Alligator mississippiensis: one gene and its partners. The protein of the gene in region 1 purifies or fractionates together with the protein of each later gene. This does not show direct contact. Links are inferred from orthologs where the notes say so. Each region holds a gene or a part of one and is shown in the gene's direction. Other genes may lie near its edges.

The links.
Region 2: the proteins of RPA2 (region 1) and ZUP1 purify together in Homo sapiens (affinity purification with western blotting; 3 studies listed by BioGRID, with this or other methods). This does not show direct contact. The link is inferred for Alligator mississippiensis from reciprocal best matches to the Homo sapiens genes RPA2 and ZUP1.
Region 3: the proteins of RPA2 (region 1) and CDK7 purify together in Homo sapiens (affinity purification with mass spectrometry; 3 studies listed by BioGRID and IntAct, with this or other methods). This does not show direct contact. The link is inferred for Alligator mississippiensis from reciprocal best matches to the Homo sapiens genes RPA2 and CDK7.
Region 4: the proteins of RPA2 (region 1) and HLTF purify together in Homo sapiens (affinity purification with mass spectrometry, with the first as the bait; 3 studies listed by BioGRID). This does not show direct contact. The link is inferred for Alligator mississippiensis from reciprocal best matches to the Homo sapiens genes RPA2 and HLTF.

Annotation. Positions count from the first base shown.
Region 1 is NC_081829.1:16,844,662-16,851,682, reverse strand, and holds the start of RPA2 (replication protein A 32 kDa subunit), read left to right. Parts: upstream 1-4,008; 5' UTR 4,009-4,097; coding exon 4,098-4,113; intron 4,114-4,215; coding exon 4,216-4,313; intron 4,314-4,905; coding exon 4,906-5,007; intron 5,008-5,094; coding exon 5,095-5,208; intron 5,209-7,021. UniProt on the Homo sapiens protein: As part of the heterotrimeric replication protein A complex (RPA/RP-A), binds and stabilizes single-stranded DNA intermediates that form during DNA replication or upon DNA stress.
Region 2 is NC_081824.1:101,709,666-101,717,634, reverse strand, and holds the start of ZUP1 (zinc finger-containing ubiquitin peptidase 1), read left to right. Parts: upstream 1-4,960; 5' UTR 4,961-5,032; coding exon 5,033-5,357; intron 5,358-7,969. Other genes in the region: KPNA5 (importin subunit alpha-6), read right to left, coding at 1,865-1,964, 2,051-2,152, 2,873-3,006, 4,715-4,718. UniProt on the Homo sapiens protein: Deubiquitinase with endodeubiquitinase activity that specifically interacts with and cleaves 'Lys-63'-linked long polyubiquitin chains. Shows only weak activity against 'Lys-11' and 'Lys-48'-linked chains.
Region 3 is NC_081826.1:258,225,223-258,232,258, reverse strand, and holds the start of CDK7 (cyclin-dependent kinase 7), read left to right. Parts: upstream 1-4,016; 5' UTR 4,017-4,091; coding exon 4,092-4,151; intron 4,152-4,261; coding exon 4,262-4,321; intron 4,322-4,945; coding exon 4,946-4,979; intron 4,980-7,036. Other genes in the region: MRPS36 (alpha-ketoglutarate dehydrogenase component 4), read left to right, coding at 1,844-1,861. UniProt on the Homo sapiens protein: Serine/threonine kinase involved in cell cycle control and in RNA polymerase II-mediated RNA transcription. Cyclin-dependent kinases (CDKs) are activated by the binding to a cyclin and mediate the progression through the cell cycle.
Region 4 is NC_081830.1:61,038,446-61,046,016, reverse strand, and holds the start of HLTF (helicase-like transcription factor), read left to right. Parts: upstream 1-4,571; 5' UTR 4,572-4,669; coding exon 4,670-4,680; intron 4,681-7,137; coding exon 7,138-7,336; intron 7,337-7,571. UniProt on the Homo sapiens protein: Has both helicase and E3 ubiquitin ligase activities. Possesses intrinsic ATP-dependent nucleosome-remodeling activity; This activity may be required for transcriptional activation or repression of specific target promoters.

The DNA of each region.
Region 1 (7,021 bases):
ATGATGTCAATCTTAAAATGTCTGAAGGGCTGCCATAAAGAAAAGGAAGAGCACCTCTTCTCTCTTGTTGCAGAGAGCAGGATGTGGATTAATGGCTTGAGGTTGCAGCAAAGTAGATTTAGATTGGATATCATGGGAAACTTCGTCACTGTGAGAACAATAAGGCACTGTCTGGGGAAGCTGTGGAATCTCCATCACTGGAGGTTTTCAAGAAGGGGTTGGATAAGCATTGCTCTGGGATGATCTAGGTATAGCTATATGTGTTCTGTAAATAACAACAGTTGGAAACCCAGGAGCCCTTCCACACAAGATGTCAGGGATCATGAGAAAAGCTGTGCATCCCAGAGCAGTTGGAAATTGAAGAGGACAATGCTCAGCAACTGGAGAAGGTTATGGAGCAGAATGGATGGTATTAGGATGGATGGTAATAGGATTTTACCATGCTTCTAGTCTTTACTGGTTGCCACAGTGGGCCAGAAAGGAATTTTTTCCCACCTGTGCTAGTCGTATGAGATTTTTTTTTCTTTTTATGTCTTCTGCAGAAGCATTGGTGTTGGCTGCAGCCAGGGCTGGGGATTTTAATAGCCCACCAGTGTTCCTTCTGGGACTAAAACTTGGAGGTTCCTGGCTAGAGGGGTCTTGCCATTCTTCTCAGGATCTCACCACATTTGAAAACAGGGAGGACTTTTACCCCATGGTCAAATTGGTACGACCTAAGTGGGGTTTGCCTTCCTCTGTAGCAAAGGGCATGGCCCTCTTCCTTGGATCTCTCAAGTGAATTTTAATAACTCTTCCATTTTGATAACTCCTGTGGACTGACCTGTTCTTGCAGCCCAGCCCAGTCCGACCCAATGAGTCTGAAGTTGTTTCTTTATTACCAGTTCCTTCTTCCCAGTTCCTTTTACAAAACTAATCCTTACACAATTAAAAGTTGTTACTAATGAATTATACAAACTGAAGAGCTAGGATTTAATCAAAAATAAATATTTACTAATTAAAATGTAAAATAATATCATGTATCAAGGACATAGCCTTGAAAAAAGAACTGAGATTACACTGGGATTATGGGCCAAAATCCTTTCTGGGTTACCCCAAATCACATGTCTCGTCAATCACGGTACACTTCTAATAAGTCTGAGTTGCACACTGCCCAACCTAAAGATTGGTATCTGCGTGCTGGGCTGACTACTGACAGCCCCTCAGGCTTCAAGAAGGAGCTGGGTTTGGGCTAGGATTATGAGTGAAAATCCTTTTTGGGTCACCCCAAAACACACCTCTCCAACATCAGGGGACTCTCTCAAAGATGCTGGGCAGGACCCTGCCCAACCTGAAGCTTGGCTCCTTAATAGCAGGCCCCCAGGCCTGGGATTATGTATGGAAATCCTTTTTTGGGTCACCCAAAACCACATGTCTTTGCCATTGTGTGTGGGGGGAGGGGGGGTAAGGCCCATATGTTGCTGTTTTGCCAGGCACTAGATGGAATTAAGAATAGCTGCATACAAATATAGGGGTTTTACACCAACTTTTCAAATTTACCTTGAGCCCCCACCCAGAAACTTGGTTAAATAACTTTGAACTTGGTGTTATAATGTAAACAAACCTGCCCACTCGTAAGCAAATTTAAATTAAAACAGATTTATTACAAGGGAAAAGGGGAGCAATACCTTAACGATTAACCTTTAACTGTAGTTCAGTATTGATCAGTCATAGTCTTGACAACCCAACCTGGGGAGCTACCACCTAGCCGTCCCTGGGGAAGACAGTCTCACCCGGGGCTGCCATCCAGGGACTCTACCACCTGCACCAGCTTAGTAGTAAGTGCTGGGTAGGGAGATCCCCACCAAAGGCCCTGCCATGCTTCTCCTGAGGCTCTACTACATATGCCAGCCAAAGTATCAAGGGCTAGATAGGGAGGCCCGCACAGGAGTTACTTGCGCTCTGATGCTGGAGAGAGGTGTTAGGGTGCAATGCTAGGCAGCACTGCTGTGGATGCCACCTCCAGGGTTCTCCATCACTCCGCCAGGGAGCTCCATCACTGCCAGGGGTCTCTGCCACTCTGCTGGGGTTTCTGTTACTCCTCCAGGCTGCTGGTTTGACGGGCATCCTCTCTGCATATTAATGAGGGGTACGCTGATAAGGGATAGACAAAGTTGTCAGTATGGAACATAACCTTAGTCAAATGTGACGAATATAATCAGAGATACGTGTATATGCAACTATGAATTTTTTAATACATATCACTATGAACATGGAACCTACTTGAATTACTTGCAACATTATTTGACTTCTTGGTTCTGGTTTAAACCATATTAAAAATTACACTTTGGTTTTTCTTCTTCGGTTTTTCATATTAAACATGCAACAGTCTTCTAAGACAGAGCTATAGGCCATTATGAAGATTTTGAGGTAAGCACCTGTCATGTCTTTTCACCATGAACGGGTGAGGTTATTAGTTTCGCAGATCTTTTTTCCTACTTTGTGCCTGTATATTAGTTAAGTAAAATAAAGCACAGTTATGTAAATTGCTTTCTGACAGTGAAGCAAATATTATAAATTTTCTTTCCTTCCTTTTTTTCTCATGGAAATATATGATTTGTATATAAACCCACACCAATTTTTCCAAATGTAATTTCTTTCTGTATTTACTTGAATCCAAGACAAGTTTTTTCCCCTCATTCAACATGGGGAAAAACATGCCTCATCTTGGATCTGAGTACCAGCACTCTGTCTCCAGCTATGTCAAGGACTGGGCAATAGTACAGGTCAGGGATCAGGCAGGGGATGGGGCAGCAGCTTTCATGAGCAGCGCACATGAAGATCAGCTGAGGAATGGGGCAGCTGTGTGGGTGGATCGGGCATCAGCATGTGCATATGATCGGCCAGAAGCAGCATGTGTTGGGAACTGGGCAACAGAACGCATGGGGGCGTTGGGAAGCAGCAGGTGTCATGGGTAGGAGCAGCCGTACACATGGGGAAGTGGGTAGGGTACTGGGCAGTAGTGCGCTTTGGGATTAGGAGGCAGCAGATCTTGGGGCCTGGGCAGCGGCAGAGGTGGAGAACAGCATGTGACGGGGATCAGGCGGCAGGGTGGGTTGGGAATTGGCGGGGGTCAGGTGACTAGGGCCCAGTGGTGAGTTGTGGATCAGGGGACAGGTGGCAGGGGTGCGGGCACGGGGGTCAAGTGGCAGGGGAGCAAGGTGCAGGGGCAGGCTCCGTGCCTCTCCCCCTCCATAGCTGAGGACAGATTTAAAACAACCCTCCAGTAATCAGATTCTATACATGGGAAATGACAGCCAGTTATAGAATGATGATATGTTCTAAATTTCCACATATGGAATTGGCTTACTCGGGGTTAAAGCATCCTACATTCAAAACCATCTTGGATTCAGGCAGATCTGGTATTAATTGCAAAATAAATCATCCTTATCAATGCGTAACATTCCATCCAATAGCCCAACATGGAAGATAGCTGAAAACACCGTATTAGCACAGCTCTTCAGTGGCCACCAGCAGGCAGGCTGGCTCGCAAACCCTGAGCCGTGGGTCGGGCACTGCCCTGGTCAGTTATTGAGACGTGTCCCCTAGCTGCAGAGCCCTGTGGCTCGAGTTGATTCGAAGTATTTTGCCCCATAATCCCAGCCCTTTATTCGAGGGTTTGTACTTGATGCATTACATTTTACATCTTTATTAGTCAATTCGACTTTCTGATAAAACCCCAACTGCGCAGCCCCCCTACTTCGTTGCTCACAACCTCTACCGCTGCAAAGACTAGAGGACGGCCCAGGACCCGAGAAGACCGATCCAAGCATGCAGCGGCGCGGCCCCACGCAGCACCAGCCCCGCCCCGCCCCGCCCCGCCCCCAGCGCCACAGGTGAGCAGGGTTCGGAGCGGCCCCGCCCCCACGCGGAAGTCACCGTTCTACCCCTGTGATGTCACACTTCCGGTTTGAACCCGGACATAGCTGGGAGGTCAGCGCCGTGGGAGCTGATTGGCCGGCACGTTGGCGGAGCGGGAGCGGCGCGCTCGCTGATTGGGTGGCTGCGTGCGGCGCGCCGGCGGGAGCTGCGGGCCGCGCGGCGCTGCGCTGTTGTCCGCCATGTGGACGAGCCACGGTGAGCGCAGCTGGGCCGGGGTGCGGGGCCAGGGGGGCGGGACTGGTGCGGGTGCGGGTCCGGGTCCGGGTCCGGGGTAACGCGGTGCTGCGCTCCTTCCAGCAGGGTCCGAGAGCGGCGGCGGGCTGTCGGCGGGCGGAGGATACGTGCAGTCCCCGGGCGGCTTCGGCTCCCCGGCCGCCACCCAGGACAAGAGACCGGTACGTGCCCCCGCGCGTGCCCGGGCATGGGCCCCCCGCTCCCCGGGCATGTCTGGCAGCTGCCTGCGGCCTTGGCCTGTGCTGCAGGCAGAAGGCTGAGCATTTGAATGCTCCTTAATGCTGCCGTTGCTACTAGCAGGTTTCAGACCTAACTGGGAGCCGTGCGGAGCGTAAACTCACTGGAAAAGCGTTCTTGCCTTACGCGGATTTTTGTCGGAAGACGACCGGGGTTTTGCTCATGTGGTAGCGGTGCCTGTAGCGCCCGTGCCAAGTACATGTTGCATGACAGGAGAGGTCGGTGCGTGGGCTGGTCTGGGTGGCTGTTTCTCTGCATGCAAAGATCAAAATGTGATTCGAAGCGTGAGGAAGATCTTGCGAGCGGTCATCAAGCACCAGGAAATCTAGAGAGGTGCGAGCCCTGTTCCTGGCAGCTCTCGAGCGCAGGTCGGACACAGCGCTTGTCTGGGACGGCGTTGGTAGGGTTTGACAGCTTTGAGGAGGGGGTTGGACCAAATGACCCTTGAGAACCCTTCCAGACTCTTTTTTTTTTTAATGGTTTTGTTTCTCTGAGACTCTCCATTCCCTCTTGCAGAAGTCCCGGTCCCAGAACATCGTGCCGTGTACAGTGTCTCAGTTGTTTTCTGCTCAGCAGGTGGATGAAACGTTCCAGGTCCGAGATGTAGAGATTTCACAGGTAGGAATCGGATCTGGAATGGGAAAAGCTTCAGAATCGACAGGAACCTACATCACAAAGTAACTTTTTTGTCTGCATCTCTTCTAGGTCCTTATCATGGGGCTCATCAGACAGGCAGAGAAAGCACCGACAAACATTCTCTACAAAGTGGATGATATGACTGCAGCCCCTATGGATGTCAGACAGTGGGTTGATACTGATGTAAGCACCAGGTTGAGCTTAGGATTTAAGATAAGGGGGCATTTAAGTATTTAATTTTTATCCGTCTTTTCGGGTCCAAAGAAGTAGTATTTACCTTGTAATGTAATACTAATTCAGCTGAGTACAGGGACTTTTTTAATTGGGCCTCTTATTAAATGAGCATTGGAGAATTCTTTGCCTACCCTGTCAGATAGTCTGCTTTCGTATTCAGCATTTAGTTCCCTTTTTCTAAATGCCATAGGAACTGTGGCATGTCAATACCCTAGTAGAGTCCTTAATAGATAATATGCCTCTTTTGGTACATTCATAATATGACATGCATATACCTAGACAAGCATCACTCTAACTGGAATCCCTGCATTTATGGGGGCTGCTCTTCTATTCTTCACTTCCTCTTCAGTTCTGCAGCATTCCATACGTCTCATTAAAAATGTTGTCCTTTCAATATTTTCAAAGTTATTTCATAACTGAATTGAAGAGGTCGCTGAGTCAAATCCTGTTTTGCCCAAAGATAACTAATTGTTGCTTATACATCCAAATCTAGCTATGGAAGAGATGTTTTGTGCCACTTGTGGACACATCCCAGCACAGGCAATCTGCTTCATTTGGCAACATCTATTTCTAGCCTTAGTTAGAGGGTGCTTTGCTCATTGGCTTAGTGAGATGGGCACTGCCATGGAGGGGTAAGTGCCATAGGTTCTGGTCCCTGTTTCTGTCCCTGGTGGTGTTACTCCATTTTCTTAAATTTAGTAGTTCATGGGTAGAATGGATAGATTGCAGCGCGGGGAGGGGAGGTGTGCAAAATAAGATGCGTCATTAGTTTCCTTGGATTCTCCCACACTGCTATAGTAATGCACATCGCCTTTCCCTAATATTTTAGGGATGTGTAATTGAAAGCTAACAGTCTAACCAAGCTGAGTATATTTGAGTGTGTGTACCATTCCGTTGTAGCACTGTATTGAGATGCCGTGCTTGCTCTGTGCATGCCACCAGGATTTGTCCACCTTTAGCATGGCACTGAGCATATGCTAATAAGTATCTCGGAGGCAGAGCTTATTGATGGAGACACAACACTGTGCTATGGCAGTTATGCTGCTTTGAACTTTGGGTCATGTCCAGATGAGCAAGGGCATGCACTTGCAGCATCACAAATAGTAGTGGCACAAAATTGTGCTGCTACTCTGTGCCACGGTGCACACCCTTACACCTGTGCTTTGTGAGGGACAAATTGTCCCGCTTCAGGCAAACTGCTCTTTCCTAACTCTTCCTGACTCCTGGTGTGCTGGACCAGCTGGGGCACAAATAAAATAGTGGAGATGCTCTAGCCAGCAGCCAAAGCATCTCCCTGAAGGGCCAAGCTTCTGTTTGTTCCAGTGCATGCTGCTATAACGCGTGTCACACCCCTTTTTTTCCGGTGCTGCTTTTTTATTTATTTATTTATTTATTTTTTTGCTACTGGGAAATCCTGGTAGCAAACTTTTGTCCCTCTGCTGCAGATTTACAGCTCAGGGCACATTTTAACCTTCACTGTGTGCGTGGTTTTTGGCACCACAAACCACAGAGGAAATAGGCCCACTGCTTGGCATCATAATTCACCAATATAGACACACTTTGAGACCTTCATTTGCCTGTACTTAAAATTTGCTAACTTCAAAAGGTGTCCTGTACTTGCTCCAAGACAGCTGACCACGCTTGTGGTTATATCATTGTATTTGTAGTAAGATGCTATAATAAAATTTGTTCCTCTTCTGTGGTATGAATTGTGTACATGAGTTAGGGTTATAGTTCTACCCAGTGAACAAACAAAAAACAG
Region 2 (7,969 bases), on another chromosome or scaffold:
CTGAGTCCCCAAGGCCTGAAATAGACTCCCTCCAAAGATGGGGCAAGCACCTACTCCGGACTCCTTTAAGAAGCATTTGGACGCTTATCTTGCTGAGATCCTTTGACCCTAGCTGACTTCCTACCCTCGGGGAAGGCGGCTGGACTCGATGATCTTCTGAAGTCCGATTCCAGCCCTAATTATGAAATCTATGAAATCCAGAATTATTGGATGAAATGCACAAGACTTGACTAACTGTACTCCTGGCTACTGTGCTGTCTGTAAACTCAGATGGTAGTGCCAATACCATACCACCACCTCCTTCTGGAATGTTTCCAAATGCTATCGCTGTCTAAAACGTTATCTAAAAGTTGTGCCTATGGGGCACTTGTTTGAATTTTAGTTTATTACTGATATAGACAATACTTTAAATTACTCTTTAAAAGATATTAAGAGAACTTTCTCTACATAGCTTCACTGCTCCATCTGAAATCAGTAAGTTGTATAAGGGGTTTTCACATAAACAGCAGATAAGGAATAATTCATTGGTACAGACTGGGGATGTCTGCCTTGCTTTGTAGTGGGCGGGGAAGTGGGCCATGGCCCACATCATTGGATCTCTCAAGCATAGTTTAACAACATTTGCAGCATCAGAATGTCAATTGCTGTGGTCACCCTGCTTTATCAGTGGCAAGTTAGGGTGTTATGTCTTGTGGTTGTGTCAGAGTTGACTCTGTAGCTGTATGGGATGGTTTGGATAGAGATGATTCTGGCTTAGGCAGGGACTAGATAAGCTCTGGATGGTCCTTCCAGACCTACTTCTCTATAATTCTATGAGATGCATCAGTCACAATCCTCAACAAAAGCTGCAAGTGCATTTTAATATTAGCAGCCGAATCAAATTTTTCACAAAAGTAAACACTACCTTGCTTGAGAGTTAAGTATAGGTAACCCTTGCATAATGCAGCTTCACTTACCGCAGTTTTGCTATAGTGCTCATTTAAAATACCTACCTGGTTTCACTTAGTGCTCAGCATGTTTCGCTATAATGCTGAGTGCAGGGGTGGGGAGAAGTGGTGGCAGTGTCATTGAGTGAAGTGGTGAGTGCCAGCAGGGGCACAGGGCAGGACAGCAGAAGCACAGGGTCCACTCTGGCATGTGATATTGGAGCGGGCAGGGAGGAGCAGCGGTGGTGTAAAGGGACGGGCAGGGGGCATGAGCGCGGGGCCTGGATCAGTCCCCAAGGCCACGGCTGGCCAGGCCCAGGACAGGACGGCAGGAGCTCAGGGTTCACTCTGGCATGTGGTGCTGGAGCGGACGATGGGTGGAGAGGAGCAGCAGCAGCAGTGAGAAAGGGCGGGCGGGGGGGTGTGCTGGCAGGGGTTACAGGAGCACAGGACCCACACAGGATCCCAGGGCCAAGGCTTGGGGGCCGGCTGGAGCACAGGGCCCAGGCTGGCAAGGTGGTGCTGGAGCTGCCAGTGGGCAGGCGGCAAGAAGCGGCAGAACCAATTATATTTATTTACATTAATTTCTCTAGGAAAATGGGTTTCGCTTAGTGTGTTTCCACTTAACACTCAGTTTGTTCAGCACCAATTAAGAGTGCTAAGCAGGGGTTGCCTGTACTGCAATGATTGCTAAGTGTGCAGCTATTTGTTCTGATACTCTAATCAAAATGTCCTTGATTTTCTTCCTTTGTCTAAAAGACTTAACTTTAGAATAATAAAGGTTTGCATGTTAACTGTTATGTTCAAACGAATTTGGCATTCATGTGATATGAGAGTTAGAAGCATTAGTTAGTTCTGTTTTTGAAGAGTGTAATAAATTCAAGATATAATGTTTATGAACAAATTTGAAGAAAGAAAGCAACACAACACTGATTTACCTTTTGAAAGCAGTTTTCTAAATTTTTGGGTTGCTGTAAGCTGCTGATCAGGATCATCTGAGAAAATCATCTGCACCATATCTGCTGTAATAACTTCTTCCTTTAAAAAAAAAATTCAAAAAATGACATCTTTGCAGTTTTCAGTACTTCGAAAGCACACTTCAAATGGAATTCTGAAACACTCACCTCTGGAATAGGTACAGTAGAACTGACATCAGGATCTTGGATAGGGCTTTCTACCATAGATTCTTCATTTCCCGGGAGAGAAACATTTCTGCGTTTAAATAACTAAATGAAGAAGAACTAGATAAAGTTTCACGTTATTACGTTTTCCAAATGCCCTCCCCTCCCACCCAAATTTAAGGTAAACATTCAAAGTATGCAGTGCCACAAGCAGCTACAGATGTTTTGGTAAATTTGAAAAAAAGTAAATTTCAACAAGTAATCAACAAGTCACCTTTCCTATCACTGAAGCAAATGGGGATCTTACAAAAAAAAAATTATGAATTTTGAAGGAGATGCACAAAACATCCCCATAATGTACATAATGGGACAAACAGCAATGGCTTCACTCATGCTATACTTTAGCTTGTATGATTCTTTTTTAAATCAGAACACTTGACACATTTTTAAATGCAAGAAAAAACCCTAAATCCTCTTCTTTAAAGTCTTGCTATTTTAGTCAATATTATTTAAAACATATTTTAAAACGGAATGTAAATCACTCTCTCAATGAATTAGTGGACTAAGACTCAACCCTGTGTTCAGCGTTTCCTATTCAATACGTTAGGCCTCTCTGCTCTCCTGTCTCCTCTGGATCATACTGAGGGGTGGTTTAATGTCTCCATGAATTGCATATAGAGCATGGCCACCCCCATTTCCCCTTAATCCAGGGCCAGACAACAAAAAGCATCTCAACGCCCTTTGTGGATGCCAATCTACATTCACAAATATTCAGTTATTTAGTTAACAGACCATGTTTACTATGTTTCAGAGTAAGAGACCTACTTGCTCTTCCCTTTTTTGTTTCCGAAGCTGGATTCCTTCTTCTTCTCTTCGTCTACGCATTTCTTGAGGATTGAGTGCATTGTTCTTGTAACTTTTCATCCGATAATTATCTTTTCCTGGGCTTGCCATGGTGTCTATAACAAAGAACAATGCTTTTACGTAAAAGTCTGTATGTTATGAGATACAAGCAGCTGCACAATCTCTAGGGCAAGAAACTGTCATCCTCTGACAGTGGATGGCACCTACTCCATTCTGAAAGACAGGCTGCCTAAACAGATACATTTCCTAAACCCTGGGTTAGGAAACAATGTACTCAACGTAAAACAAACAATTAAGGAGCACTCAACCAGCTCCATGTGACAGCACCTTCCTTGTGGACAAAGTAGGCTGGAAAAAGCAAGTTACCTTGACATGGGCAACGTCTACGTGAAGTTTTCACAGTGAAACCTGCCAAACTGATTATCACCTACCACACCCCCAAGTATGGTAGCTTGCCTCTCTTCTCTGACAGGATGTCATGTTGATGGCACCTTGGAAACAAGGGCAAGACCAAGGTGAACTGGGAATGATAGCATTTGGTGCCCTCCCTTCAGCTCTCACCATGCCCAGCTCCTTTTATGGTGCTGGTACCTTCAGCCTGAAGCAGTGTTGCCAGGTGTTCGATAATTATTGTATTTAAACAATAATTTCACCTGTTGTGCGATGTACGATCAACAACAGTAAAAGTGTTTAAAATCTACAATATTTTTTGAGGTAGCTCATTGATGCAGAATATGCAAAACCCAAGTCACTCTAAGGGAATCTTAACCAACTTCTGGGTTTGCAGTCAGCACTTTCTTATGATGGCTTGCCTCGAAATAAAGAAATGCTTCAACTTTGATGACCCAGTTCTCACTCACTCATTGCTGACTTAGAGTAAGCAATATGAAGTAAATAAGAAAATTTATTTGTGTACTTATTTACGTTTTAAAGTATTTTTTCAGTGTGCAATAGTTTTTCAGCAAATACAATAATTTTGAGCTTCCAAGCTGATAATTTCACATTAAGACCTGACAATGCTGGCCTGAAGGGTCTGTAACCAGAGCAGACCAGGAAAGCTTATGGTCTCTGGGCCGCTGCTGCCAGATGGGGTAAGATTCAGCCAAATCTTTGCAAACCTTGCTACGACTGCAGCCACCATGCACCTTCCCAGGCAGCTGGACCCTCCTTTCGGATTGCGAACACACAGCTTGCCCTCCCAAAGGGAGGAACTGAGCGCCGGGGGCAGCCCCTTCCCTACAGCTGACTCCCTCCACAGCCAACCCAGGCCAGTGTTACCAGGTGCACGACAATCATCATGTTAGTAGGATAATTTCAAATCTGGTATGACCAATGATAGTAAAAACGTGCAAAGCGTACAATCATTTGTGAGGCAGCTCATTAACCCAAGTCACTCTCAGAGAGTCAATTAATTGAGTGTTGGGCTTGCTGTCAGCACTTTCTTAGGACTGCTGGCCTCCAAATAAAGGCATGCTTCCACTTGGATGACCCAGTCCTCTCTCATTCGCTGACAACTTACAGACAGCAATAGAAAGTAAAGAAAAAGACCACTTATTCGGATGCTTATATGTATATTTCTCAGCGTACGCTCGTTTTTCAGAAAAAAGGACTACTTGAACTTCCCAACCGATTATTTCATATTGAAGACCTGGCAAGGCTGCCCTTCAGGGCCGGCTCCCCCTCCCCCCGGACAGCCCAGGCCGCCCCGCAGAGGCGCGGGCAGGCGGCGGTCGGCCCTAGCCCGCAGGGCCGCGCTCCGCGCCCCTTGCCGAGCCCCACCAGCGCCCGCCCCGCTGCTCTCACCCATGGAGGCGGTGCCGGAGGGAGAGGCCCCAAAGGCCGCCGCCCGCGACGTCTCGCAATCCAAGATGGCAACCCCGCCCGCCTTGCGAGCCCCGCCTTTCCTCCCAACAGGCCCCGCGCGCCGCGAGTGACGCAGCAGCGGCCAGAGCCGACAGCCCAACACAAAACCACAATTCCCGTCATGCACCGCGCGCAGTACTGTGGAAGCAGGCGCTTTGACCGCGCGCGCATGCGCCCTGCTGCCACAAAAGCGGAAGCAGGAAGGAATTCAGTGTCTGGGCGTTACTCGAGCCTTGCAACCGGTTGCGCGCCTCAGGGATGCAGGTGTGCGACGTGTGCGGGCAGGAGTTGTTGTCGGAGTCGGAGGTGCGGAGCCACCTGGCGCGGGTGCACCTGGGGCCCGGCCCGCCCTGCCCGTTCTGCGGCTTCCGCGGCGGCGGCTACGACCAGCTGCGCCGCCACATCGACGCCGCGCACCCCGAGCCGGGGCCGCAAAGCTCCCGCCCGCTGGGGGCTGCGACGGCGGCGCCCGGGCCCAGCCCGCTCGCGTGCCCCCTCTGCGGGGAGGCGGCGGCGTCGGCCCCGGGGCTGGAGGCGCACGTGCAAGCCCGGCACGGCCGCCTGCTGCTCGCCACCGCTCCAGGTGAGGCCCAGCCCGGGGGTGACGCCCGGACCCAGCCCCGCTCCCCGCTGCGGTCTCCAGAGCAGGAGCTGCCCTGCAGTGAAGTGGGGGGCTCATGCCACAGAGTGGTTTGGGACATCACGGGAGGAGCTAGGAGGCCTCTCACGTGGGTCTGTGTATCTTACTAGGGCTCTGATTAGCATAGTAATCATGGAAAGTTATGGGTGGCAGGAACCTCAGGAAGTCATCTAGTCCAACCCCTGCTGAAAGCAGGACCAGCCCCAACTAGATCACCCCAGACACAGCTTTGTCTAGCTGGGTCTTAAAAACCTCCAAGGATGGAGATTCACCCCCTCCCTGGGATAGGGAGAGCCAGAGGCAGGGCAGGCACTGCGAGAAGTGGTTTTCAATAGAGTGTTGTGTGATGCCCCTCAGGTGCACGGAGGTGGCAGCCAAGTGAAGCTGCCCCGTGTGCAGGGCTGTGGCATGCACGCTCCCGCTGTCTGCTGGATAAAGCCAGGTGCGAGCAGAGCTGTAGTTCTGGAAAGGGGGTGCAGGCGGTGAGGTGCAGTCTCATATAAAGTGACATGTAAGCAGAAGAGAGAATCCCTAGCTCCTGTGGAGTAAAGAGTTTAGCAGGGATTTGGTAGATTAGGAGCCATGAAGTCAATTGAGTTAGGTCTTGCTATGAGCTGGAGATTACACTAGATGACCTCCTGTGGTCCCTTCCAGCCCTCATTTTCTATGACTCCCTCTGCACGAGCTGACTAGAAATGCTGTTGCCACTGCCAGGGTGTTGGTTTTAAATTCTGGGTGGAGCAGGAATCAAAGAGGGGTGCAAGTTTATCTGTGCACTCTCCCCTGGATCTGCCCCCAAAGCCAGGCCGAAGGTGCGGAAGGGGGAACTTTCATCACTACTATGTACTACATCCTTTTGTAGCTTCTGAGGAAGTCACGTGTTAGCAAGGAAAGCTCATGCCTCTCAGAACCAGCCAGCCTCTAATGCAGCACTTATGCAACTTTAAAGAGTCAAGGAACCTCTCCATAACTCTTTTAATTTGCATTTTCTCCACTCCCCTCCTAGAAACAGGGACAGTTGCACTGGTGCATCATTGATGTCAGGAGGAGCAAGGGTAGGGGGCAGACCAGGAAAAGCTGCGCCCCAAGCTAGCTTTAGGGTTACTAGAGAGCAGGAGGAGTGTGCACATTCTGGGCTGGCTGTACAGCAGGCGTGTGGGGCATTTTGACTTGGAAGCAACTGCACTCAGTTTAGAAGCACTGAGGGAAGGCGAGGCAGCAGCAAGAGTGGCTTTCATCCAGGGGTGCCACCACACTCAAAAAAGTGTTGTAACTACTACCTTACTTGCTGACTGGTTCAGAGATGCTATGAACATGGAGTACGGAAGGTACCCTCCTGCCCTTCCTTCTGACAGCTTCAGATTAACAAGCTAACTGCCTCTGCATTGGTGAATAGGAATTGTGTGTCAGGTAGAACTAGGTTCTCTCATTGTGTCACCCTTGACTGATTTCAAAGTGCAGTTATATGTATCCTTTTAACATGTGAAACACTGAAAATATGAAGGTATATAGAGTAATATAGCTCCATAAATAATACTAGGCATGTCTCTACTGGCCCCATTAATTTAATAACATACTTGTTAAACCTGGAAGAAACTCCTGCAGGATTTCTAGAGTGCTGCACAGCTTTGCTGCGGAATCTAAGACTCATTTTCCAAGGGAAGCCACAGGCTTGGCTTACTGACTCTTAAGAGCTCTTGCTTGCATTTAGTGTCATTTGTCGTCATATTCCTGTACCAATGTCCCTCAGTTCTTACATGTCTGAAGATGTACTCAGAGTGAAACTGAACAATTGATAAAAGAAAGCACATTCTTGTCCCTGCGCTAAAACTGTTGTTTGTTTTAAAAACTCAGTGGGATGCCAAAAAGTTATAGAAAAACTTTTTTCAATGTTGGTGCTTTCTCCCTTATTAAAGCTTGAGCAGAATCCTACTCTGGCCTTCTGGTTCTTCAGAGATATTTGGTAAATACAAGATAGACAAGCTTTTATTATTAGAAATGTATTTCTAATACCAAAAAAATATATATTTGGAGTTATGATAAGGAATCTCCTGGCATGCTTAACAGAGGATGATGAGTAAAGAACAAACTCATTTTTTCTTTGTTGTTTCCATGACATCTGTATTATATCTTCGAACATGAAGGCCAGAAACTCGTTTATGAAAAATGAGTTGTTCCTTTCCTGGATCGTTGAAATATCTGGGACTGAAGAGTAGATATTTTAAGTCTATTTAAGTCTGTTTTATAATTTAAGGTGTCTGGTAACAATTGCAATCTTCTATAGTTAAGTTAAACATCATATTATGCTTGATGGGAAAAATAAGATCCCTCCGCTGACTTGTTCTTAAGAGTTTACTTTTATTAATGTACAGGTAGTATGTGCCTTAAGGCACATATTCAACACACTCTGTTGAATTCATGTTACTAGCAAATTCTATTTTTTATTTTAAATAAATGCAAAATGAATTAAGTAGTAACTTTTTTTGTCATAGAAAGCACGTGATTTGCTGCTTTTCTTGTTTGGATTTTATGAAACAAATAATTAGTCCACCAAT
Region 3 (7,036 bases), on another chromosome or scaffold:
ACCAATGTACATGCTGTTTTGTTTAGTTTTGAGCAGTGTTACCAGATTCACAGATCAGAAGCTTACCAGACAACAAAAATACTAAAAGCTAGAGGGAGACAGAAGTAACAATTGAAAGGTTTCCAAGTGTTACAGACTTCAAAACGTTTCAAAAAGTATCCTGGACACTGCATGTGATCTCTGTAGGACTCCCCAGTCAGAGCACTTCCAAATTACTGCTCTGATCAGGGAGGCTGTTCTCTCTGAGTACCCCTTGCCTGTCAGAACTGGGATGCCAGACCCTCCCCCCAATCTGGCTCCAGTAAGTGTGGGAGTGTCTAGAGTGTTGTTACCCCAAAATCTTGGATCAGAGAACCCTTGTTTTGTGTATAGAATGCTTTACACAAGTATTTCCACTCCAATAACATAAGTTTATTCAGGAGCTAGCACACACTTTAATATTAAGACATGTACTAGTTACCATGCAGGCAAGTCTTGCTTCCTATCCTGTTGCTCAGACAGTCCAGGGTCTCAATGAGATGTTTAAGGGTGTAGTCCAGTAATCCAAAGACCTTTCGTTCCCAATTTTTCTTTATATCTTATGTTACTTACATATTTATTATTTCAACTTCTGCTATTAGCACTGCTATTAGCTATTTACAGACTATATAACCTATGTCTCACTATTGGATATGTTCCTAAACCTTTATGTGCTTAAACACATCCATACTTACCTTTCTTATCACACTATTTCTGCACATCCTCCCTATACTGTCAGTGTTTATGCACAGATAAAATTTGTAGTTGCTTGCTCAGTTTTAACCAGGTAGCAACCTCCTGGCCAGCTTGGTTGCTATGCAAAAGTCACAGGAGTGGACACTGGCAGTTTTATGGTTTCAGTGCTGGGAGTAGATGGGGCTCCAGGAACACCTCAAGCACACTGAACCCGAACACTGGGTACTGCCGCTCCCAGTACTGGGAGAGAGGAGGCAACAGCGGCCAAGGGAATGTGAGATCTTGCCTGCTTCCAAGTGTGGCTCCAGTGGTGGCAGTAGGGGTGAGGGCTATGATCTACATAGCTGTAGTTACCTGCTCTTCCTCCCACTCCTTTATGTTTGTGCATGGAGGCAAAAAATGGAGCGCTGAGAGATGCTGGAGGACCCAGAGGTCCCCTGTCACATTTCCTAAACAGCAGTGAAGTGCTTCAAAATAGTACCCAATTCATAGTCACATTTGGAATATTGAAGAAGGCATGTGCATTTGTATAGCTGGACCTTTTAAAGGCATTAAAAATGTTTCAGTTCTTACTGCAGTCTGCACCATAAAAGAATTGCATTTCTTTAGGCTTGTTAAGACAGGCATTTGCAAAGTAAAAATACCAATGAAGAAGTTATTACATTTCTTACATAGAGCTAAGAGTGATGGAACTAATTTTAAGTAGGAGGCTTCCTGATATGTCTCTACTTAAATTTCTAACAGGGAGACATAGTAAGTTGTAATAGAGCCAACATCAGTAGAACAGAGTATTAAATAGTTTGACTTTACTATTTTATACTTCTGAATTTGGACAAGTAAAATAACTGTCTTTTTTCAAATTCTTATTCACCAGGATAGTACTACAGTGGATTCATTTTTGCTCTTCATCAAATTATGGAGAAACCTTTTAATATGAAAACTATAGCTTTTATAAAAGTCAAGATGTAGACATTTTCTGTCTTTAGCTATGATCTTACCTTTTATTTCTTCTATAATAAGTCTGAATTAAAGAAAATATCTCCCCACCCAGTAATACAACTCAGCTGTGTATGTGTCTGCTTCTTTCCTTTACTATAAAGTTTGTAATTGTCCACTTTTTCTTTTACAGCGTGGAGGTCCAGAGTAAGCATAGACGATGTCTCTTCACCTCCATTGAAGAATGAATTATATTCACAGTAAAGGCTTTTCCTTCTGCAATTTGTTATAAACAGTTATATGTTAATAGCTTTAATAAAGACCCCTTATGAAGGGTGACAAGATTGATGCTTCAGACTCTATCTGCTAATTTGTGTTTGGGCCAGTTTGTGTTAAAGACTGTGTGACTACACTTTATATACCTACACAATTCCAATGCACTTTTTCTGATGAGCCATTCTACTTTTCTGCTCAGCAATAGTTGCTTTTTTTTTAGTAGCTGTTCCACGGACAGCAATCCAGCTTCAGAATTTTTCCTGCTAAGGAAATTGAGCAGGGCTGCATTTTCTATGAATAATGTTCAAATCTTAATGTTCTTACTTCTGAGTAATGGCAATGGAAAATGAGCTTTCAGTCTTGCGCTCAGCTGTTTTGGTAGCTGCTCCATGAGGTGGAAACAGAATTAGGAGATTGTCAGCTTATTGTTGGAGTAACATTTGTTAATTAATGATGTTTAGAACCAATTCTAAACTTTTTCTGCCCATTCTTTTTGGAGAAAATTATCGTTGAGACTGGATTCTTACTTCCCTAAAATGTAGAGGTCAAGGACATCATGATGCTAATGGTGTTGGTTTCAAGAAGAACCATAGAAAAGTAGGGCAGGAAGAGACCTCTGGTCCACCCCCCTGCCTGCATCCAAACGTCCTATACAAATCCTTGTCTAACTTAGTACTAAAACTACACAATCTTGTCACACAAACCTAACTTACCACGGTGATGGAGGGGAACAACAGCAGTCGCTGCCCGACAGCTATAAGAGTTGTCAAAATATATTTGACAAATCCACTGAAGATGACAAGTGGTCTGGTTTTCTCCTTGTTTGCTCAATAAGCTTACCATTACCTAGTTAAAAGGGAGATTAAATAATAATGACTGCTATAGCTGTTAAGGCCTCTCTGGCCAATTTAAAATAACTAGGGTAGGAACAGGAGATGGCACCTCTTCCACACTGATATTTGCTTGTTCAGAAAGCAGGTCTCACTTAACAACGTTAACCCAACTAAAAACTAGGTTCAGTTTCTTCTTCCGAGGCTGCTAAAACTGTGTGGCAATCAGAAGTTCCACCCCCACATGCACCTTCCCGTCTGTGCTCTGAAGATTGCATTGGGGGATAGTCAATAGGTCCAGTCCTGTTAGTTCTAGATTATCTGACACAGCACCCGCTGCTTTGTCAGACTGATCCACGTTAAAAACAATGAACACTGAGTCCTTGAATATAGATGGCAGACAAAGCAGTGCATTTTAAAAATATGTCTTACTGCCATCTATTTCCATGTGTAGGGATTGGGATCCTCTTTGGAAGTACACATTTTTGCAAGTGAGTCAGCCTTAATACTTAAAACAATACTGCCCCCTTCAACCTCATAGGTTGCTTGAAGACCCAGTGTTACGGGAAACTGTATTTTTCATAAATCCCTATTTTCTCAGACTGATGAGGAGAATAACTTCAACATTATCCTGCAGCACATTACTTGATTGGCATTATTTCCAGCCTGGCCTTCAATGCAGCTTTAGTAAATCTTTACCTTTCTCGAGGAGCATTTCCTGCAGTGTCTCAACAATTTTTAAACACGCTGGTGAATTGGGTGCCCTGCCACAGGACACATAATCCCAGTGCATAAGAGAGGAAATTGAGAGACGGTGGTGGAGTGATTTGCTCAAGGCCACCTGAGGAAGCAGCTCCATTCCCAAGTGTGGGCTCTGCTCAGGGGCTTCTCTTTCTTTGGCCGATTCAGAGCAGGGGTCGGAGCACCCTGAAGAGTGAGCAGAGGAACTTCTTCACCGCAAGGGCGACCCGAACTTGGCGCAGACATCCGGGGGGCCTGGGGGGGTGCAGTCCCGGCCCCAGCCCTGGAAGTCTTCAAGGGGAGACTGGACAGGCACCTTGCTGGGTGCTTTGATCTCAGCTCCGTTCCTGCCCAGACCAGGGGGCTGGGCTCCAGGATCTTCCGAGGTCCCTTCGCGGGCACGGCTAGGCCTCCCTCGCGCCAGGGGCAGCCTAGCAACGGTTGCTAAAGGCAACCTGCTGGAAGGCCAGGGGCCACGCTACTTCCGTCGCCGCCTCGGAGGGGGGTGGGACTTCCGTTTGCGAGCGGAAGTGACGCGCCGCGCCGGCTGCGACGGTTTAAATCCCCCTCCGCGCGCGGCCCCGCTCCGAGGCGATGGATGCGCGGGCGCGCGCCAAGCGCTATGAGAAACTCGACTTTCTCGGGGAGGGGCAGGTGGGCACGTGGGCCGGGCCGGGCCGGGCCGGGCCGGGGGTGGGGGCGGGGGCGGTCGTCTGTCCCCGCGGGATCCGAGTGACCGACCGTGCTGTGTGTTTCTGCCCTAGTTCGCTACCGTGTACAAGGCGCGGGACAAGAGCAGCGGCCGGATCGTGGCCATCAAGAAGGTGGGTCCTGTTGTACCCTGCCGTCCCCCTCCCGGGCTGGCCGCGGGGCTGTAGCCCGCAGCGCGGTGCAGCTGCTTCCCGGGCCCCTCCCAGCCCGGCCGCGGCCTGCGCCGCGTGTCCCCTCGGGGCTGGAGCTGGGGCAGGCTGCAGCAGGCTCCACGGGGGAGCCGCCTGCTTGCCCTGTAGGATCCGTCAGAAGTCGGCGGGGCTCGTGGGGCCACTGTCCCAGGACAGCAACATGCTGCCGCGGGTCTTTCCAGTCAGCTGAGGGGATTGTGTCGGTCTGGGGTGACTTGCAGCTCAGGGTGCAGCCCTTGTGATGGGCCTGGTACTTAATCGGGCACGGGGGAACTGTGTTTGTTGCAGGTGCAACAGCGTGTGGGTCACATGGGGGAGCATAAACCTGGTTGCAAAGAATAATATAATCATCAGTTTTGTTTCTGTGCAATGTCTGTTGCTTCCAGACATACCAAAAGCTGCACATGCGGTTGTAAAAACATTACCGGTTGAGGTTTTTACAGCACTGAAACTCACTTTTTCCTTGAGAAACATCTTTGCTCAGACAAACAGTTGAGGTGTGTGGTTCTTCTTGTAGATAACACAGCATTTACTATCTCTCTTTAGATTAAGCTTGGACATAGATCAGAAGCTAAAGATGGTAAGTACTTCAAGTATGGTCCTACAGCATCGCTTGCCCTTTTTTTTCTTTGCATTGAAGACTATGAAAAACGCTTGTTGCCACGGAGCAATGGGTTAACTTCACAGATCTTAAAATGGAAAAGTTGTTGTTAACAGCTTTATTGTCAAATTTAATCTCACCTCATTGACTGAGGGGTCCTACAATAAAATCGCCACCAAAACGTGCATGTTTCCTATGGAAGCAGTGGGAGAAGAAACGCTGAAATCTTCGCGTACATACTCTGAAGTGTCCAGATATTGTTATGATGGGCATGAAACGAAGGTCTGATTGATGCATCTTTTTCCTTGTTTTTGTACCCAATATGAAAACAGCACTAGCATAAAGTAAATTGTGAAAAATGTATTGAATTTCTTTCAGTTTTGGTGTATAGTGTTAATTGGAAGTAACAAAACTAATTTACAGCACAGTTTAGTGTCTTGTGTTGTCCCAAGATGATGATCCTAGTTTTTTGCCCTTAATTCTGTCAAATGTTTTGAAATGATACTATTGGTGTTAATGACATTTTAAATCTCTAAAACAACTTGGAGTCCTTTTAAATTTTCTCCCTTTCTACTAAACACTACCAATGACCCCAAATGTAGTGTCATTCATGAATTTCAAGAGTAGTCAGTAAAAAGAATATAACTGTAGAATTAGGTTGCTGTGAGTACATGCCAATTTGGATTCCTCTGTATGTGTGCATATCAGATGCACACAACTTCTAATTCTTTGGAATAGCAATGTCCAACCAGGTTAAATGTACATTTTGCATTTCTCATCTTCCGACATAAGGATCTAAAAGGGTGAGGCAGAGGCAGTCTTTTTTTAGCTTCCTTTTGCTGTCTTGAACACGAGGTAGAATTCAGTAGGTATCCAACATGTCTTCAGAGCCCATGAATGGACTTGAATGAAATTGGAAAGGTAAGATTTCTTTGAAGGATGTTTCTTAAGGGGATGCTGAGCACTATCCTGCAATACCCCTTTTACAGCAGACCAAGGTACTTTGTGCCAACCGCCGCACATTCAGAGGGAAATGTAAACCCAGCCTGCCCTTCCCCAGGCTGATTGCTTTCAAGGATGGACTAATCTGGTGTCTCTTGTGTCTATGTATGGATTGCATTCTGGGTAACTGCTGTCTGTTCTCTGAAAGGATCTGGAAGCCCAGGAATACTCAGCTTAAGTGTGATCTTCTTCAGCAGTCTATATGGGTCACTTCAGACTCAGTAATAGTATTGGATACAGCGAGGCCAGATAAAGCAGTGTTTTGTAGTACTCCTTCAAGGTTTTATCACAGCCACCAATGTTGACACCAGTTACCCCACTAGCAATGAAATCTCTGTTATTCCCAACACAGACTTCATGCTGGCAGATCCAGCATTTGGTTTCTATGCTGACTGCCATTGATCTCAGCCAGTAAAGCCAGCTCATATGTCTACTTATAAACAGGATGTGAAGTCAAGCTTGAACATAGCTCCAAGACTGATGAGAGAGAATGCCAGACATCTCTCAAGAATTCAGTAGTGAGATCTGAGACCAGTATTGGTACTCATGCCTCTGATGGAACAGAATAAGGGCCAAACGTGTTCTGGAGGCACACATCTCACCTGGAGAGGTCCATGATGCAGAAGTGGCCTGAACCAGGACTGCATTTCCTGTGAGGAGACTTGATCCTTCCCATGATTGCTAATGTATTCCTTCCCATTGAATTTGAATATGAATCCCTTGTGTCTGCCATCCTGAATGAGCCCATGCAGAGCACTGGCCTGGTCAGTTTCTACTGAATGAATGTCCCTGTAAATAGGTCACCTGGCTCATATTGGCTTTACTGGAGACAATAGTCCTGCAGGAACAGAACCGAATTGTAGTTGTACAGAATTAGCTGTTAAGTGCACATCTGTCACAACAACCAATTTGAATTGAAGTGATATGCTGAACTACCATTTTGTAAACTGAATCTGTTTTCTTGCTTTATCAGGTAATTTGAGGAATGGGGAATTAATCTTAAGCATTTGTTGGCATATTGAACAACCAGAATT
Region 4 (7,571 bases), on another chromosome or scaffold:
AAGCAGCTGAGCCCACAGTCTTCCAGTTTTCCCACGAGGATATCATGGGATACTAGATCAAAAGCCTTTTGGAAGTCTAGGTATATACCTTCTACCTTGTTTCCCATGTCCAGGTGGTGAGAGACCTGGTCATAGAAGGAGATGAGATTGGATTCATTGGATTCAAAGGCAAAAGTTACAGATGATGAAGCCATTGATAAAGAAAAGCTGCAAAACAGTGCCATCTTGTGTCAATTCTGTGTGAAACATTGAGCAGATTCTCTCAGATGGGAAATGAATTATTATTTTTTATTTATTGCAATGTTCTTATTTACTAAAATTTAAAAGTTAATAATAGGAAGGATTATGTTTGATTCACTTAACATGCTGATTTGGCTGCTTCTTTTAATCTCTACAAAACTCCACAATTTTTTTTTTATTGGCTTAAAGAATAAGGATGTTTTTCCTTTTCCACTATGAATTTAATTTTTTCAAATGAATCTGAATAAAAGCCTCAAAATATAGGCTGTAGTTTTCAGCCTGAGTAGGGACTTTGGCCAGGTACAAACATCACACTTTTACCATTATAAGGGCACTTTTACACATGGGGCGGGCATTGCTTTAATTACAGCAGCTTTAGTTAAAGCACCCCTGCCGCTGTTTTGAAGCACGGGGATGCTGATATATGAGATATGGGAGGCTGCTGGAGCACGGTAATTACCACACTGCAGCAGACTTAATTAATCGATTACAGTGTGTTGGAACGGCCTCTGCACTCCTGTACAGGTACCCAAAGTGACTGGAAATCAAACTATATTCATAACAGAGCAGAAGTTCAGCATGCATAGACTGGTGTAAAAATGATGGAACCAAGTCTAAAATTCTCCTCCCCCCTACCTCCCCCAAGAAAGGGTGCATCCTGTTCGTTACTGATTTAAACTATGCCATTTACAGAAAACTGCATAACTTTGATTGATTCCACTTTGGGCTCTTTGAATGTCTATACCTAGCCCTTGTATACACCGCAGCTTCAGCTGCTCCCATGCCTTTTTTCTCCAAAAAAGTGACAATAAAACTTCATTAAAAAACAAATGTGTGGGGAAATTACTTCTGATACTAAGGGTGAACCTAAACTGTTTGGCATCTGCTACATATTTTTGTATTCCCCTCTGTGTTTTTTATAGCTGTGCTGTTCATTCTGGATGAGAGAGCAGCTGCAATCCTGCCCTTATATTATTGATATATGGCAGTGATTATGATGATGTCTTGAGGCCTCAGTCAATTTTTTCCAAACTATACACATATATTAGAAATTCCCTGCCTTAGAAAGTTTACAGTTCGAAAGACAACAACGGGCTACAACGAACACAGGAAGGAAAGCATGGGGTAACAGTAAGATCATAAGCATTAGAGAAGGAGGGGGAAGGTAATTCTGTTTTACAGAAGATTTTGATATTTGGAGTTCTGATTTTCTCAGACTCAAAATGACAGCAAAATTTTTCACAGTCCTCTGCAAAATGGAATGGAGCAGCAGCTTTTGGAAGTCACATGGGTTTCTGACTCCAAAACAGACTGACTGATAGGCTGCCCTGAGCCTGTGAAGCTCTTGGGAAGTTCTGTGGCTCGGTCTATCTTGAGGACTACCTCGATATAGGAGGTGCTAAGAGGTTGAGAGTCATTTCCAGATTCTTGTTCCATGTCAAATTACCAGGTAAGGAATGTGAGCAGGCCATTTTTTGATGAAAGGCCGGCTGAAATTTGTTAACAAATGAACCATCTGTGTGGAATGCTTTGATTTCAATGAATTGATAAATCCCTATGGGAAATTGCTTTGTTAGAATTTTCATGACTAGTTCACAAGTAGCCTCCTGGTATCCCATCTGCTTGTAACTTTTTGTGCAGAAAAGCTGGGAAAAATGCCTTTTAGAATTTTTTTCTGTATGTGGGACCTAAAATGTGCTATGAACGAAGTGAAAATGCACTATGGTGTTCTCTACTTGTATACCCATTGGATAAGTGCATAATTTGCTTAACTATAATGAAGAATTGAAGTTATGTTAGATATTAAATGGTCAACAAACTTTTATGTATTAATTTCACTGTTTAGAATGCTTGCCAATTGTTAATCCGCACGTAAACCACTGGAAGATTTTATGGGTAAACAGTTGAAAAACAATTTTCTCTTTTGACACTGATTTTTATCTCTAGCTAGAAAGCAAAATAATTTTTGTTAGCTAGCAGGAAAGTTTATCATTGAAGACAATGTTATAAATCCTTTTCTAAGAGACCAATTATTATTTCACTGGATAGCATTCTTTTCCTTAAAACTTCATGAAAACATCCTTTGAGTTAGTTACTTGGTTCTTGAAATTAATTACATGCGTCTTTGAATGGTGGAGGTTTTTATAACATGGAAAGCAAAAAAAGCTTTAAAAAAAATCTATCCTGTTCTTTTTATGCATTAATTGTGTGTGGAGGAACAAAATATTGTTTTATTTTCCTTATCATGATTACAGTGATATCTGTTAGATTTGAATTACAGCTTAGTCAGTTACAGCTGTGGCAGAAGTTGTGGTCAGCATCAGATCAATTTCACTTATTGTGCAGCCCATAAAGAAACCATTTTTTCGAAGATTGCAATCCTGCAAGGAGAGAACTTTCAATTCTTTTTGAGAAGCAAGCTAGGGAGTGACCAGGGGTTCTATCCCTGGGCACCAGCTTGCGGGGGAGGGCACAAAAATAGCAGCCCCTGCCCTCCTACCTGCTGTGCCACCTGCCACAGCTTCCCCATGCACCACCATCCGAGGGCCAAGAACTGCCCAGTTACATTTCTGCCTTTTGATGATGCTGTTGGGGGTTCAGTGTAGTAAACACCTCCACGAAGTAAATCGCCATCACACAATATCCCCAGTATATAGAAAGAGTATGTGTTTAGCCCTCACTACACATTCAAGTAATGGTGCCATGAGATCTAACACAAGATCTACACAGTTGTGCCTCCTGCCATACCATGCATGCATGGCAGGAGACATGATTGTGGGATCACACATTAGATCTTGTTATTGCATGTGTTGGGGGAGCCTGATCCTGCACAGGTAAGAGGCAAGCTCCTGCAGCTGGGAGCCTCCTCACTTGAGGAGCTTCCACCTGTGGGGGCACCCTACACACCCTTGGGCCTGGGAGATCATTGCTGCTGTGATCCCCAAGGCTCAGGCATTGGCAATGAATAGGGGGTGCATGCAGGTGCACGTGTGCCCCCTGAGATTGGCAGTGCACGTCCTGAGAAAAGCACTGCTGACACTGCTGGCGGCGCCTGCTGGCGGCACCTGTGGGCGGTCACTGCTCAGCACCACCCTGCCACCCCTGCTGTTGACACCACAGCAGCCACCTGCAGGAGCTCCCTGCTTGCCGCTGCTGCCACTGCCTGCTGGCAGTCGCCGTGCCCTGCTCAGCCTCCAGAGGCATGCATCGTTCATGGGCTCAAGGATCCATAAAACCCCAGGCCTGGGGGACTGTGGCTGTTGGAGCTTTTATGGTGGGCATAATCAGCTGACAGGGCTCCAAGCTGCAGGGGACACCCTGCTACTTGTAAATTAAAGCTGGATAGCAACCAGCTGTAAAGTTAGTACACATTTTCAAGGTCTAACTTTATAGCTGTTTGGAGCTTTGTAGCAAGTACTTTGCACGTGCCCTGGAGGCTGGGGGGGGCATGGCGACTGCCCACAGGCAGCGGTGGTGGCGGCGGAGGCATGGTGAGTGCTGACCATTGGTCAGTGATCACATGCAGACGCTGCTGGTGATGGTGGTGGTGGGGGGTTAGTGAGTAGTGACCACCTGCAGGTGCCATGGCAGTGGCGGCGCTTCTTTCAGGGGGTGCACTGCCAATCTCAAGGGGTGGATGCACACCCGCATGCACCCTCTATGTCGCCAACGCTCAGAGTTGTGAAAAACTTAAAAAAAATGCGTTCACGTGACCTCAAACATCCTGTTTCTATGTTCATGCGACACAGGCGTGGCTCACAATGGCTGTGTGGCACGCCCAGCTGTGGGTAGCACCGAGCTGGCACTGCACATGAGAGTGCATTATATGACGCAGCCGGTCATGTATGTGTTAGGTATAACATCAGGGCTATAGGTTGTATCTGTGTTGTCTAAGGACGTAGACAAGGTTCTTTGGGTAAATCTGACGTAATTTATTCGACCAACTAAAATAGTTGGAAAAAATGATTTGCAAGCTCTTGGGGGAAAGCTTGCAAAGAATTTTTCCAACTTTTTCAGTTGGTCGAATAAATTATATCGTATTGACCCAAAGAACCGTGTCTGCCTCAGGCACGACACGCCATGTGGCCGCAAGGGCCGCGCCCGCCGCCAGCAGCAGCGCTACGACGACCCAGTGAAGAGCGATCCCTTCTTCACTCCATCCCGCAGGGCGAGGGGGGCGGGGCTAGTCTGAGGCCTCCGCGGGCGCCGGACCGGGTCCTTATAGGCCCTTTGAGAGCGCGCGGGCAAATGAGAGGAAGTCCCGCCCCCTCCCCATTGTCCTGTTCTCATTGGTCGAAATCCCTGGAGGCGCGGGCGGGGGTTGGTGTCGGCTGCTGTCACTCCGGTCAGTAGGGCCAAGCAGCCGGTGCGGGGCAGCGGGAGATTGCGGGTTGTGAGCGCTGGTGCCTTTCTCCGCCTCGGGGCCTGGATGTTCGCCAAGTGAGGCCCACGGCCGGCCGGGGGGCGGGCGGGACGGAGCCGCGGGTCTTTCGCGGGGGCGGGGCGAGCCTGGCGGGGCGGGGCTCCGGGTGCCTTGGCCCTGCCCTAGGGGGGGCCGGGCGCACTGAACTCTTCCGCCCTACGGGTTGATCCAGGGTGCGGGGTCGTGCGGGCTGGGCCTATGCTTCGGCCCCTGCACATGGCGAGCGGGGCCCGCGCCAGCCCTGGGAGCTGCGTCTCGCCTGGGCCCCATTGCGACCAGTTGTGCGGCGACGCAGCGCGCGGGCCTCGAGCCCCAGGCGCTGGGTGACGTGGCTCCGCGGCCGTACCTTTGATACCCGAAGGCAGGTGTCAGCGATCCCTGCACGGCACAAACCAGAGCCGGTGCAGACCAAGCCCCAGTAAAGCTGTAGCGCAGTGACAGGGACTGAGAGGCCCGCACGGAAATGGGCGCGCTGGGAGGCAGCTGCAGGACGGCCTGGCAAGTTCTTGCAGTGCAGGAGTGGCGCTGAAGGTGTGATGATGGTCCAGATAACATGGGAGGGGCCATGGGTTTCATGGGTGATGGTGTTTTATTGGGCCCAGTATGCAGTTGGTCCAGTAAAAGATAGCACCTACAAAAATCCTTGCCTCTTGCAGAGTCTCTTTGGCTGGTTAGCGGTTCCCACAAACAGCAAGAGACCTTTATTTCCACACCTGTCATACACGAGCACTTTAAAGCATAATCTTAGGATTCAAAAGATTCTGCTGGGCCAGGCTTCATTTGAAAGACTTGTAAGTAAGGTTGGAAACATGGTTCATGTTTCTTCATGCTTTCCAGCCTTGATGAAGGTGGGAGAATAAGAGGGCACTGACATTCAGGAGCAGTGTTCTGTGATAGCCAGTGCTCCTTTCTTTCCAGCCTCCTTTAGGAAATGAAGTGCAGGTGGTCTTGTGTCAATGTACAGTAATTATCTTTTTTAGGGGGGTCTCGTTTGCATATTAGAAAAGCATGTAAAAAATTAGGCTTGCCCCCCTCCTTTCAGAATATTGGGTGGGAAGACTTATTTTTGGAATGGCTCCACTCTTTTCTGTCCTCCTCCCCCTAGTTGCAGCAGGGAGAAGAATAGAGTAATTTTGTTTTCTTACAACTTTTCTGTGGTTGCTGTAAGAAAAGACATTATTTTCCCTGCTGTGGAAGAAGTTAGAGTTTTCTCCCTTTCCTTTCTGCCTCTGTCTGGAGACTTTCTTCCTTTATTCTTCTGGTGTTTCTATAAAGCAGACATAGAAAGAAAATGAAATCTTATCACCAGTTTCCTTCCATGTAATACATTCTAAAATGCAGATGTGGTACTGATGCCGTGGTCTTGTAGTCAGCTGAAAACTGCATCCTCTCAAGGAGCAGTGCCCAATTTTTTCATCCCATGGGCTGGATGGGCATGGGGTGGGGATGAGGGGGGACCTGATCCCATGTGCCAGATTTCTGGGTCTGCCAGGGGCTGCATAGGGCAGGCCCAGCCAGAGCCTCAAATGGGCTGTGTGGCAATGGCCTTGGCCTGAACCGGATGCGCAGGGCTAAGAAACCTGGCGGGGGGTGCCACTGCTCTCTTGCCAACAAATTTCATCAAGTTGCACATAACCCTGTGGGCTGGATGCCAGGGCTCCTTAGGCTGAATTTGGCCCACAGGCTGGGGATTGAGCACCCCTGCTTACAATCATCAGGAAAAATTACAGGTAATTTAGTCCTCTGATGTTCTTGAGGTGAGATGTAACTTACCTCAGCAGCAGTTTGAAACAGGTCAGGATCCTGTTATGTTGTCAAATCTCTTTTACTGTGTATTGTGTGAAACTGATGTAAAACTAATTTTATGTCTGACTTTCCTTTAAAGTAAGTATAAACTATGTGAAAATAGTGAGGTAAAACAATGTGAAACTGATTTTGTAAGTATAATTTTACTGTAAAAGGGTAGAACTAGAGATGCTTATAAAAGAAAAAATGGTAGTAATTAAAATATTCACACTTGTTTTAAAACAACGTTGCTCAGCCTCTTGGCCCCCCAGAGGCCAGACCAGTGGTGTGAGGCCAGTCCATTGGCCAGATTGGGCCCTGGGGCCAAGAGCTGCACCCTCTCTGTCCCATGTGCTGTGATTGGGTCCCTTGTACCTGGCATTATCCCTTGCATGCTGGGATTAGGACCCAAGTGTGTGGCACCGCTCTTTCTGCCTCGTGTGTCAGTACTGGGCCCAAGGACCTGGCACTGCGCCCTTCCAGCTCTGCCTGGGCTTCCCATGGGTTCAGAAATCTGGCAGCAGGCAGCCGGTTCCACTGCTTCTCCACTGTCAAATTTCCAGACCTTTAGGGATCCCCAAAGGCTAGATGACATGGGGCTTGCAGACTGGTTCTGTCCCATGGGCCAGGGGGTTGAGCCCCACTGTTTTAAAACATTATCAGGTAACTTTCATTGTGTCCTCTTGCAGAAACTATGGTTCATCTACAGGCTATGGAGGAAATAGGACTTATTCCTGTTCTTCTTCTGGTGATGTTGATTCTGCTCTTGGGTTTGAAGACTTTCTGTATACAGATGACACTTCAGGGACAGATGAGGATTTAGATTTGTTTGTCCTGTTTGGAAATCTGCGAGGAAATGTAGTTGGATTACGCTACTACACAGGAGTTGTAAGTACAGCGTGAATAGTACAATTGTATCATACTAAGTAGAGCCAGTTAAGAAAATGGAAGAAAAGCTATGGTAAACTGTGACAAAGGTTATGTTTTATGGTATAAAAGCTTTCCAGAATTGTCTTACTGTTCCTAATATTAACAGAAGTGGGGTTTCTTTCATTCATTTACTGTTATTCATGTATTTAAGTTTTGTCACAAATATGTTTGTGGCTACTCTTGTTCCTGATCC